Schizosaccharomyces pombe: one gene and its partner. The gene in region 1 interacts genetically with each later gene. Each region holds a gene or a part of one and is shown on either strand. Other genes may lie near its edges.

Region 1 (5,216 bases):
AGTTCAAAATACAATGACTAGTGCTGACATTCGGGATGTCTTTGAATTACCTCCTCCTGAAATAGGAAATAAGCAGAAATCTAAAACTCCAACAGAGAGAAGGCCAGAAGGAATTTCTCGAGAACTTTATTCATTGCTAGGCGAGAATTCTGCCCCGTTAGCAATATACCAAAAGAAATTTAAGGAAAAACCAAAAGTTAGTCACAAAGCTAAAAATTGGTGAGTAAATCAGAGCTCAAATAAATAAATTTGTGTATTCAGTAAGGAATTTACTAATTTGTAGGGTACGCCAGCCCTTTTCCATATCAAGCCGTAAGGATGATTTTACTTTGCATCATTGGGTCCTTAAATCAGAAGTAGATTCTGAAGCCTGTATGTTTGAAATTTTATTTGATAAGCGCTTGGTTAAACTAACCTAAACTGTGTAGCATACAAATTTGAAAAATTTAACGTCCCTCTGTTTATAATTGACTACACCGACGAAGAGTACCAAAATTATTTAAAAGGTTGAGATTCTCTACTATATTTCATTAACTAATTTGTTGTAGATGAGGATTGGAATAAAGATGAAACCGACTACCTATTCCGTTTATGCAAAGATTATGACTTGAGGTTCTTTGTAATAGCAGATCGTTATGATAATGAAAAATATAAAAAACATCGAACGCTTGAAGATTTAAAAGACAGATTTTATTCTGTGTCGCGAAAAATTCTATTAGCCAGGAATCCCATTAATTCAATGACTGCTGCACAGAGCTCTTTGTTGAATACGATGGAGTACAATAAAGAGCAAGAAGTTATTCGGAAGAAGTATCTAATTGGGCTTGCTTCTAGGACGCCTGAAGAAGTTGCAGAAGAAGAAGCTTTATTTATTGAATTAAAACGTATTGAAACATCACAGGCTAAATTATTAAGTGATAGAGACGAAGTTCTCCGTCTATTAGATGAACAGAAAGGAGATGGTGGCATTCATGAATATCACACAAGTGCTGGAATGAGCAGTTTAATTCAAGATATGATTAATTCTCAAAGAACCAAAAATAAAGTGGAGGAAGCTATTGTATCTTCTTCAGCCCCTTCTTCTGGAGTGTCTAGTGTTTTAAATACCCCTACTCGTCCACATGCTCTCAGCACACCAAGAATCAGATACGGTCCGCAACCGACAGATCCACAATTTGGCATCACTTGGCACGAAAAACTACATCCGGGCACTTTTGTTCGTTCCCAAAAAATCCCTGCCATAAAGGCTTCTTTATCGCAGAGAGTTTCGTCAGTTATGACTGAACTAGGAGTTTCTTCAAGGCTGATTATGCCGACAGCTAAAAACTTTGAGAAGTTCGTTGAGCTACAAAACTCAATCGTTTCGCTACTGGAACTGAAAAGAAAGGTAGATAGACTATCTCAGGAAACTGAAATTCAGGACAAGTTGAGCCGTAAACGCTCAGCTTCTCCTGACGGCTCCGAGAGTAAAAAGCACATAAGTCAATAATTCTATGACATTATACTCGATCTCAATTTGGGTAGTTACGTTTTTATAATAACAAGTTTTGAATGTTTGACGCGTTAATATTATTTTTTGTACCCTGTATGTCATTTACCGTGCCTGTGTGTCCTTTGGAGTACTTCGGCCTATTTTCACTAAATTTCTGTTTTGCATAAATATGAAAGTTATCTAAGGGCCTGTCTCCTGGTTCTGTTTATCTAGCTGAGATGGCAAATGCACCGCAAATAGCAAATAACTGGTGTGTGATTTTAAGTTAGAATCAACTCTTGCAACATCTGTCCATTCGTAATTTCCATCACCTTCTCTAATGCGTTTGTTAGTAACGGGCTTTAACGCCGTTTCTGTGGACACAGAAGACTTGTTTTCACCAAGCATTGAATCGTTATCTTGATCTTCTACCTTCGCATCAGAAGATAAGTTTTGTTCACGCCTCATTTTTCTTCTCTCAAATCCTTCGATCCTCCTTCTTTTAACCTCTTTTAGCCTATCGATTGCTTCGTCAATATGAACAATTCGACTCTTACGAGCAGCCCATTGCTTATAATCAACTTCAATCATTTCAATATCACACCAGCCAAGTTCTCGTAGTGCTTCAGCAGAATGTTGAATTTGTTCTATACAAGGAGAAAAACAACAAATTCGAGTGCTTTTATCATGATTTACATGATTCGAAAGATGCGGTATTGCTTCCCAGGGAGCTGGAAGGTCTAAAAATATAGCGTCAACCTTTACCTCCGTATCCAAAAAACCATCTTTGCAGACATCTCTATGAGTTAGATGAGTATTTCCACCCACATCAATTAACATCTCGTGTTCCCGAAATTCTTGTAACGCTGTTTGATAGCGAGTTGCGTGATATTCGAAAGTAAATAATCTTCCAAGAGGGCCGACTGTTCGCGATATTGCGTGTGACATGCTAGCACTACCAGTACCAGCTTCTATTACTCGGGTTCCGTAAGTGATACGAAGCTTTTGGTGGATTAAAGCAATATCTGGAGTGTAAACAATTTGTGTTCTGTGAGGAAGAGCGAGGGTCCATAGTTCCGGAGTTGGTTGAAGAAGGTAAATAAATCCTTGCTTCGCTGTAGATGCAATTTGCTCGCCGTACCTTTTACCAATCATTTCGGAATGTGGGAAGGCACCATATTGATTATGAAATGTTTTTTCAGCTTCTATATGTAAAGGAATCAACTTGTTCCTACCAATCCAAGCTACTGCCAAATCGCCATTTTCAACACGTTGTTTATAGTCTGCAAATACCATTATAAATTTCAAAAAAACATATAATATATATATATATATATGTATTACGAAAAATTAGAAGGTAGTGTTATTTAATTGCGTTTTAACAAATCAATATAATTAGCCAAAGAAAAATTGGGACTTAATTTTTCGTTGGTCTAAATTACCGGGTGCATTCACGATTATTGAAGAGTTAATAAAATAAGTCAGTGTGAAGTATATGAAGATCCGCTCAAATCTGTAATTTTAAATCATACAAGACTGAAGTAAAGAAGTTTTTAAAACTAATGTGTTGAGATAAATTTTTTTAGTCTTTTCAAGATATTATGGTTAACCTATCCCTACGCCCACTATGCTATTATTTTAGTTAACATTTGTTTAGTGTAGCCATGTTTCATTAGTTAAATATTAATAACGATATCTCACATTAACTCTCAAAGCTACGAACGTAAAATTCGTTAAATAATTTAGAAAATGCTATCAATGCTGCCGTTAATTACTATGCTGCCACGAATTAACTTTACACTGCAACAAGTTAGTACTTGTATATCAACTAAAACAACGATTTTGATCATCATATTACCTGTGTAGTAACTATTTTCTTGAACAATATAATGAACATTAAATCAATAACTTAAATGCATACTTCCCAGCAATCTATTTCTGTTACGTAGTATAGAGGTTTTTATATATTTGCCAAGCATAATTTCTGGCATTCAGAATCTTTATGAAATTTAATGAGCAAACTAGTAATGATAGTTAGTATATTTACGAGACGAAAGCCCGTTAAAAATATAATGAGGTATAGTGATCATATAGTTATATCGCTAACGAGTGATTGCAACGAAGCTTCGATTATCTATTTACTTAGACCTTCCGTTTTTTACCATTTATGCTTTAATAAAACTAATAACAATTCTCTTGCATTTTTTGGAAACTTTTTTATTTAGTTTGGAAGCTTTTAAGTCAATATTTTACAGACCGTTAAACAAAGGAAATATACTATTCATCTCTGCGCGTCATGAATGAAGAAGAGACAAACTTCGTTGGAATTGCGGATTTACCTAATCAGCGTCACAAAATAGTTTCACGAAATGGTGTAGCTTTCACTTTGATGCTTTGTGGAGAGTCGGGTCTTGGTAAAACAACATTTTGTAATACACTCTTTTCAACAACAATTAAATCACATATGGGCCCGGAAAAGGTTCGTGCGAAGCATGCTGAGAAAACGGTCGAAATAGAGATTACAAAAGCTGAGTTAGAAGAAAAAAATTTCCACTTAAGGTTGACAGTAATTGATACCCCTGGTTTTGGGGATTTTATCAATAATTCAGGATGTTGGGAGTCGGTAGTTGAATTTATAGAAGACCAGCATGAATCGTACATGAGACAAGATCAGCAGCCAGATCGTCGTAAGATCATTGATATGCGTATTCATGCTTGCCTATATTTTTTGCGTCCCGTAAGAAATGGTGTTCGGCCTATGGATTTGGAGGCTATGAAACATATTTCTAAGCGTGTCAATTTAATTCCTGTCATAGCTAAAGCCGATATGTATACTCGAAGGGATTTAGCTCTGTATAAAACTAGAATTTCTCAAGTTTTAGAATACCATCAAGTCAATGTTTATAAACCTAATATGGATGAGGGCGATCCCGTTTTTCACAGACAAATTCAAGGAATCATTAATTGCATGCCATTCGCGATTGTTGGAAGCGAAGATGACATCCGTACTCCTGATGGTAGGGTCGTTAAGGGTAGAGAATACCCATGGGGAATTGTTGAAATTGAGAACGAAGAACACTGCGACTTTAAACAGCTTAGGAATATTTTAATTCGGAGTTGTATGCTTGATTTGATTCAAACTACTGAAGAAAAGTTGTATGAGCAATATCGACAAGAGCAGATGAAAGTTCGCCAGTATGGAGAACCTAAACTGCGGACTATTGATAATGCGAAATTTAAGGAAGAAGAAGAAAATTTGAGAAAAAGATTTACAGAACAAGTGCGCGTAGAAGAAACTCGATTTCGACAATGGGAACAACGCTTGATTGCCGAACGCGACTCATTAAATAAAGATTTGGAAGCTCAGCATGTTCAAATAAAACAAATTGAACTTGAAATCGAACGACTAAAGGCGGCTACCAGCTCTCGCAAACGTTAGAGATAATGTTAAAATATAACGAAACTTGATACCCAATTATCATTTGGGTTTGTTTGCTAGTGAACCATACTATCATCTTTTATGGTCCTTCATTTCTAATACATAATGTCAAACGTCTATCTTGCCTCCCGTATAAATTACATTCTTTAGACAATCAATTAACTATATGATTTTATTTTATTTTTTCTATGCCTTTATACACTCTTTTATTGTGGTTTTATTCAACGTATAGTACATATGCTTTCATAAGTTGCTCAATTTTTATATAATTTTGATATCGAATAAATTTTCTGTATCTTATAAAAT
Region 2 (4,587 bases), on another chromosome or scaffold:
CAACCTATGTTTTAGTTTATACCAAGAAAATGGAACCTAAAAAAATTAAATCCTCTCATTGTTTTGCTTTGCGTCTATCGTTTTGTAACGCACCGACACGCACTGACATACCAAGTGACTTGCTACCTCAGATTATCTGGGGTAGACTTCGGTGGTTAAAAGAAGGTTAGTCCGTGGATTTCACTCCCTTCACCCGCATCTTCCTTATCAGGCCCAAAGGGAGTTAAACGAGTTACGCTCGTTGCGATAACATGTAAGCTACGCAGTTTGGTATCTGATTTAAGGATACGTAGAACTGCGGTGAGTTTTCCTTGTGGTCTATTATATTACAATACACAGGTTGTATAAGTAGCAACTGAGTATAGGTATTGTATTAACTGGGTTATAATGTTACCTATCACTAATATAGCTCATAACTGAACTGAGGAACGAGGTTCAGTTGTAACGCTATTTATAATATTTCTAAATACTTGTATCAACGGGTATCTATGTATATAGAAGGATAGTTACCCGTGATTATCAATAAACGGATCTTAGCTAGTATTCCAACATATGACATATAGTGATACGCAACGTAGTGTAGCATAGCGTAGTGTAGTATTGCTGACATAACGAGAATTTTCGAGATATAAAGAAGAATAGGTTTTCAGTTCATTCAAGTCAATATAAATGGATAGAGATACATAAAATAGAAATTTTAATTGTAGTCGCATTTTATTTTTTATTATTAGTAAAATAATATTTTACTTTGCCTCGTACCATATAGCTCATTCACAGCCTTCCAATGTTTCTAAACTGAAGAAGACTGGAAAAAGGCGAATGTAAAGAAATACAACAGTATAAACGAGATTGACTGCTTCCCAAAATGATTTTTTAAAAGGATGTTTGTAAATCTGCTTGTATCCAACACACTGGGCATACAGTGAAAAGTTATTCTTATGAAACCAATGTGTCAATACGCTTTGTAAACAATGACAGAAAAGAATGTATCAAGAGGTAATGGTTGTAATTATCACGTTATAGATAGGTATGTAATTATTGATATAAATCAAGAGAAAATGTATACGTATCCAGGAATATCAACCTTTGTCGTACACATTATTATGTGTGTGTATGTGATATAGCAGCATCAAACTGGTTTGCTAGATCTAAAAACATATGGACATCTCTTTATGGATACGTATAGATGCCAAACTTTGATGTATGAAGATTTTGACGAGCTAGGCCAGCAAGTAACTCAACAGCCGCATGTACACCATCAATGATGGGAATATTGGGACCTACGGCAACCTGAATCTGATCACGAATAGCTGCTAAAGCAGCACCACCTAAACAAATGACATCTGCACCCTTTGTGTTTGCCAGTTCTTGGGCCTTTTGGACAAGAAGGGTTTCACGCTCTTGTGAAGGCATTTGCGAAAGTTGCAAAACTGTGCGACCTGTAGAAGCAATGGCGGCCACTCGAGTGCGCGAAACACCAAAAGAATCGAGTAATTCGTAAAGCAAACATTCGGAACGATATGTACTTGTAAGGATGCCGATGCGCTGACCAACCGATAAGGCACTGAGGACAGACGCTTGCACAATGCCCATGCAGGGTAAAGCAAATGACTCACGAATCATGTCGACTAGAGGAGTGGGGGAATAACAGGCAACAGCTATAGCATCGACACCATCCAAGACACTAGGAGTTAGGGCTTGGAAGACTAGAGCAGCTGTCAAGGTTGCCTCTGTGATGGAGTCGATGACAGCAGCACCGGGTTGAGGACAAGTTAGAAAGCGCAACTTTACATCTGAAGGCACTAGGGGAACGAGTTTTTCTTCCATGGATGTTGTGATGAAGGTGGAAGAGTTTGGATTGATGACGAGAATGGTAGGCATGATGAGAGAAAATAGAAAGGTAAGAGACGAAGAGAAAGAAGGTAGAGAAGAGAAAGCGAAGAGAAAATAGTAAGAAAAAGAGCAAGCAAAGGGGAAATAGTAGAAAAAAAAAAAGTAAAAGAGAATGTTGAAGCTGAATTTACAGAGACACAAAAAATAATACAGTTTATTGGAAAATAAACCTTTTTTCTAAACTGTTTGTCAAAAACTAAAATTGAAAAACCAGTGTCACAATTTATTATAAAGTGTAGAAAATCGAGTTTCCAACAAAATGGCTTGAAAAACGAAAAATATTTTTAACAAGTAATGACTAAAATAGATTTGATCGTTTGTTTGGTTTTTGCTTATTTACTCTTAGTAGACTAGACTCGACTAGACAATCTATTTCAAGGTTGATGACTAAAAATGCTGTTTCAAGCTGCTGTAGACTGCAATTGAAATTGTCTACAGAATTGATAAGACGCAAATCAAGTGTAAGGGGTTGTTTGAGTAAACTTGGAAACTCCGTTTCCAAGTTGTTCAATGTGCACTCTGATAATGAACACAGTCGGACCCGAAGAGGAGATGAGACTGATGACTAGTAAACAGCGTCAGTGAGTAGCAGCAACGATGGTACTGATAGTATAGGTGATTGAAAAGTTTGTAGGACAATGTTGGATTGCTATGCTATACTTGAGCTGCCTTTGGAATGTTGGTCAAGCAAAGCACAAGCACCACTAACCACCAGACTTACTACTAGCGCTGTTAGGATTATGTAATTGAAATATTCTCATTTACCTGCAAAACGTTAAATCTTCTATATGCACTATCTCCCACTTTACTCTTTTACCGATTCTTTCCCACTCGTTCTACACTTGCAAACTCGAGTCCGAAGCCCGTTCCAACTCGCACCCTGTCCCACTAAAAATCGCACTCCAGAACATCGGTGCTTAGTCTTCTGGTCAAGAAATTTCCGCCGATTGTCTTAATGAATTCCCCTCAAACCTCAATTTAAGTCATCACCTAGACGGACGGGTGCGACTTGGGTATTCCCCCTATCGATGCCTACTTCTTCCAATGACCTTTACCAAACAAGACTTGATGTGCAGACGCCAAATCGATGGTTTCTTTACATTTCATTAGAATTGTTTAACAACATGTATTCTCCGTTTCGTAGCAGCTCAGTCTTACTCAGTGGTGCTCAGTCCGATATACCGAAGGTTGGCAAATGCTTGTTTTTGCCATGCCGCTCACTCGAATTTAGAGCATCGGCAAACTCACTTAGCGTACATTTCCTACTCAATGTAATTTCAGCAATCTTATCTATGTTGATAGAGAGGTATGCGGTAGAAGTGATAATGAGCAAAATTACATGGCCCAGGAGTAATGAGGATTGGAGGTTCCATGGTATAAAAGGTTGATGTGAATACCATGTTGTCTCATCAAATCAAAAGAAAAACTCACTGAAGAGAATCACACTGACCATTGTTCGTCTTGTGCTTCTGCTACAATTGATTTGAATTGAAGTTCATAATAATACCTGGGTGATACAACATCTACGTAAAGTCTTCAATTACTGCTACTCTCCGTAAAAACAACTAAATATTCGTAACTTTTCTCGCTGTCCCAGCTTGTTTACTTGCTCCGATAGCATTGTGCATTATTGACTTGTGTAAATTTCCTTTCAAATCTTAGTTTAATTTCGTTTTGAACAGCCAATACCCATCGTGTGTTGCTATAATCCATTGTTATAGATTTTCGAAAAGAAACAAACATTCGAAAACCACTCTACGCCATTGTTATCAATAAACGAAACGATTGTTGTGAATTTTCGACTTTTGCTCCTCTACTTGTCCAAAGTTGAACTCTACTAGTTTAAACGTTTTTAAGGTTATCAAGAATACCTTTTTTCTCATATTTTTTTTTCAATCCTCCTTTATTACTCGTTTCGTAAGAGAACCCATCTTGTTTCTTACCAACTTTTCTTTAAATTCTTCGTTCAATCATGTCTGCCACTGCTACTACTACGGTTGTGGAACCTCCTACCACCACTTTGACTGGTGCTACCGAGCCACCATTTACTGCTTATACCACTTCTCAAGGTCTTCGTGTTTCCCCTGTTCCATTGCCGGAACACAATACTGATGTTGGATTTGGTGCTTTGATCGAAAATGTTGACTTGAATAACCTCTCGGATGAACAATTCGAAGATATCCGTAAGGCTCTTTTCGAACATCAAGTGGTTTGTTTCCCCAATCAACACAATTTACCCCCAGAGACTCAGTACGCTATCACCCATCGCTTTGATCCCGAGTCTTCTACCTATGGTCACGGCAATCGTACAAATCAGCAAAACAACAGCATCTTACATCCCGATTTGCACACCCTTCCCGGTGTTCCTCAAGTACAACTCATTGGTCATGGTGTTGTGAAGGATCATTACGGTCTTGAAGAGGTCCGACTTAAACATCCTCATCATCGAACTTTCCATCGTGATCCCATTTCTGAGGAGGAAGAAAAAGAAAAACAAGTCACCCGTTTTTATCGTTGGCATATCGATGCTGCCCTTTATGACTATAACCCTCCTGTAGTCACTACCCTTCTCGCCGTTAATGCTCCACAAGGCACCCAAACTCTTCGATATGATGATAAGTCTGGCCATGAGATGCCTGTTCCATTAGGTTCGACAGCTTTCGCCTCAGGCTATCGCATGTACGAATTGCTCAC

The links. A genetic interaction does not mean that the proteins touch.
Region 2: mutations in trm61 (region 1) and SPOM_SPCC576.02 together harm fitness less than expected from each alone (positive genetic interaction), as found in Schizosaccharomyces pombe (one large-scale study listed by BioGRID).

The regions. Positions count from the first base shown.
Region 1 is NC_003424.3:1,991,481-1,996,696, reverse strand, and holds trm61 (tRNA (m1A) methyltransferase complex catalytic subunit Trm61), read right to left. Parts: upstream 3,041-5,216; 5' UTR 2,768-3,040; coding exon 1,673-2,767; 3' UTR 1,490-1,672; coding exon of another isoform or gene 549-1,489; 3' UTR 507-548; downstream 1-506. Other genes in the region: Swr1 complex/NuA4 histone acetyltransferase complex subunit Swc4, read left to right, coding at 14-219, 284-372, 429-506, 549-1,489; mitotic septin Spn4, read left to right, coding at 3,768-4,910. UniProt on the Schizosaccharomyces pombe protein: Catalytic subunit of tRNA (adenine-N(1)-)-methyltransferase, which catalyzes the formation of N(1)-methyladenine at position 58 (m1A58) in initiator methionyl-tRNA.
Region 2 is NC_003421.2:2,079,941-2,084,527, reverse strand, and holds SPOM_SPCC576.02 (hydantoin racemase family protein), read right to left. Parts: upstream 2,822-4,587; 5' UTR 2,659-2,821; intron 2,617-2,658; 5' UTR 1,882-2,616; coding exon 1,171-1,881; 3' UTR 501-1,170; downstream 1-500. Other genes in the region: SPOM_SPCC576.19C (uncharacterized protein), read left to right, coding at 2,922-3,281; alpha-ketoglutarate-dependent xanthine dioxygenase Xan1, read left to right, coding at 3,866-4,587.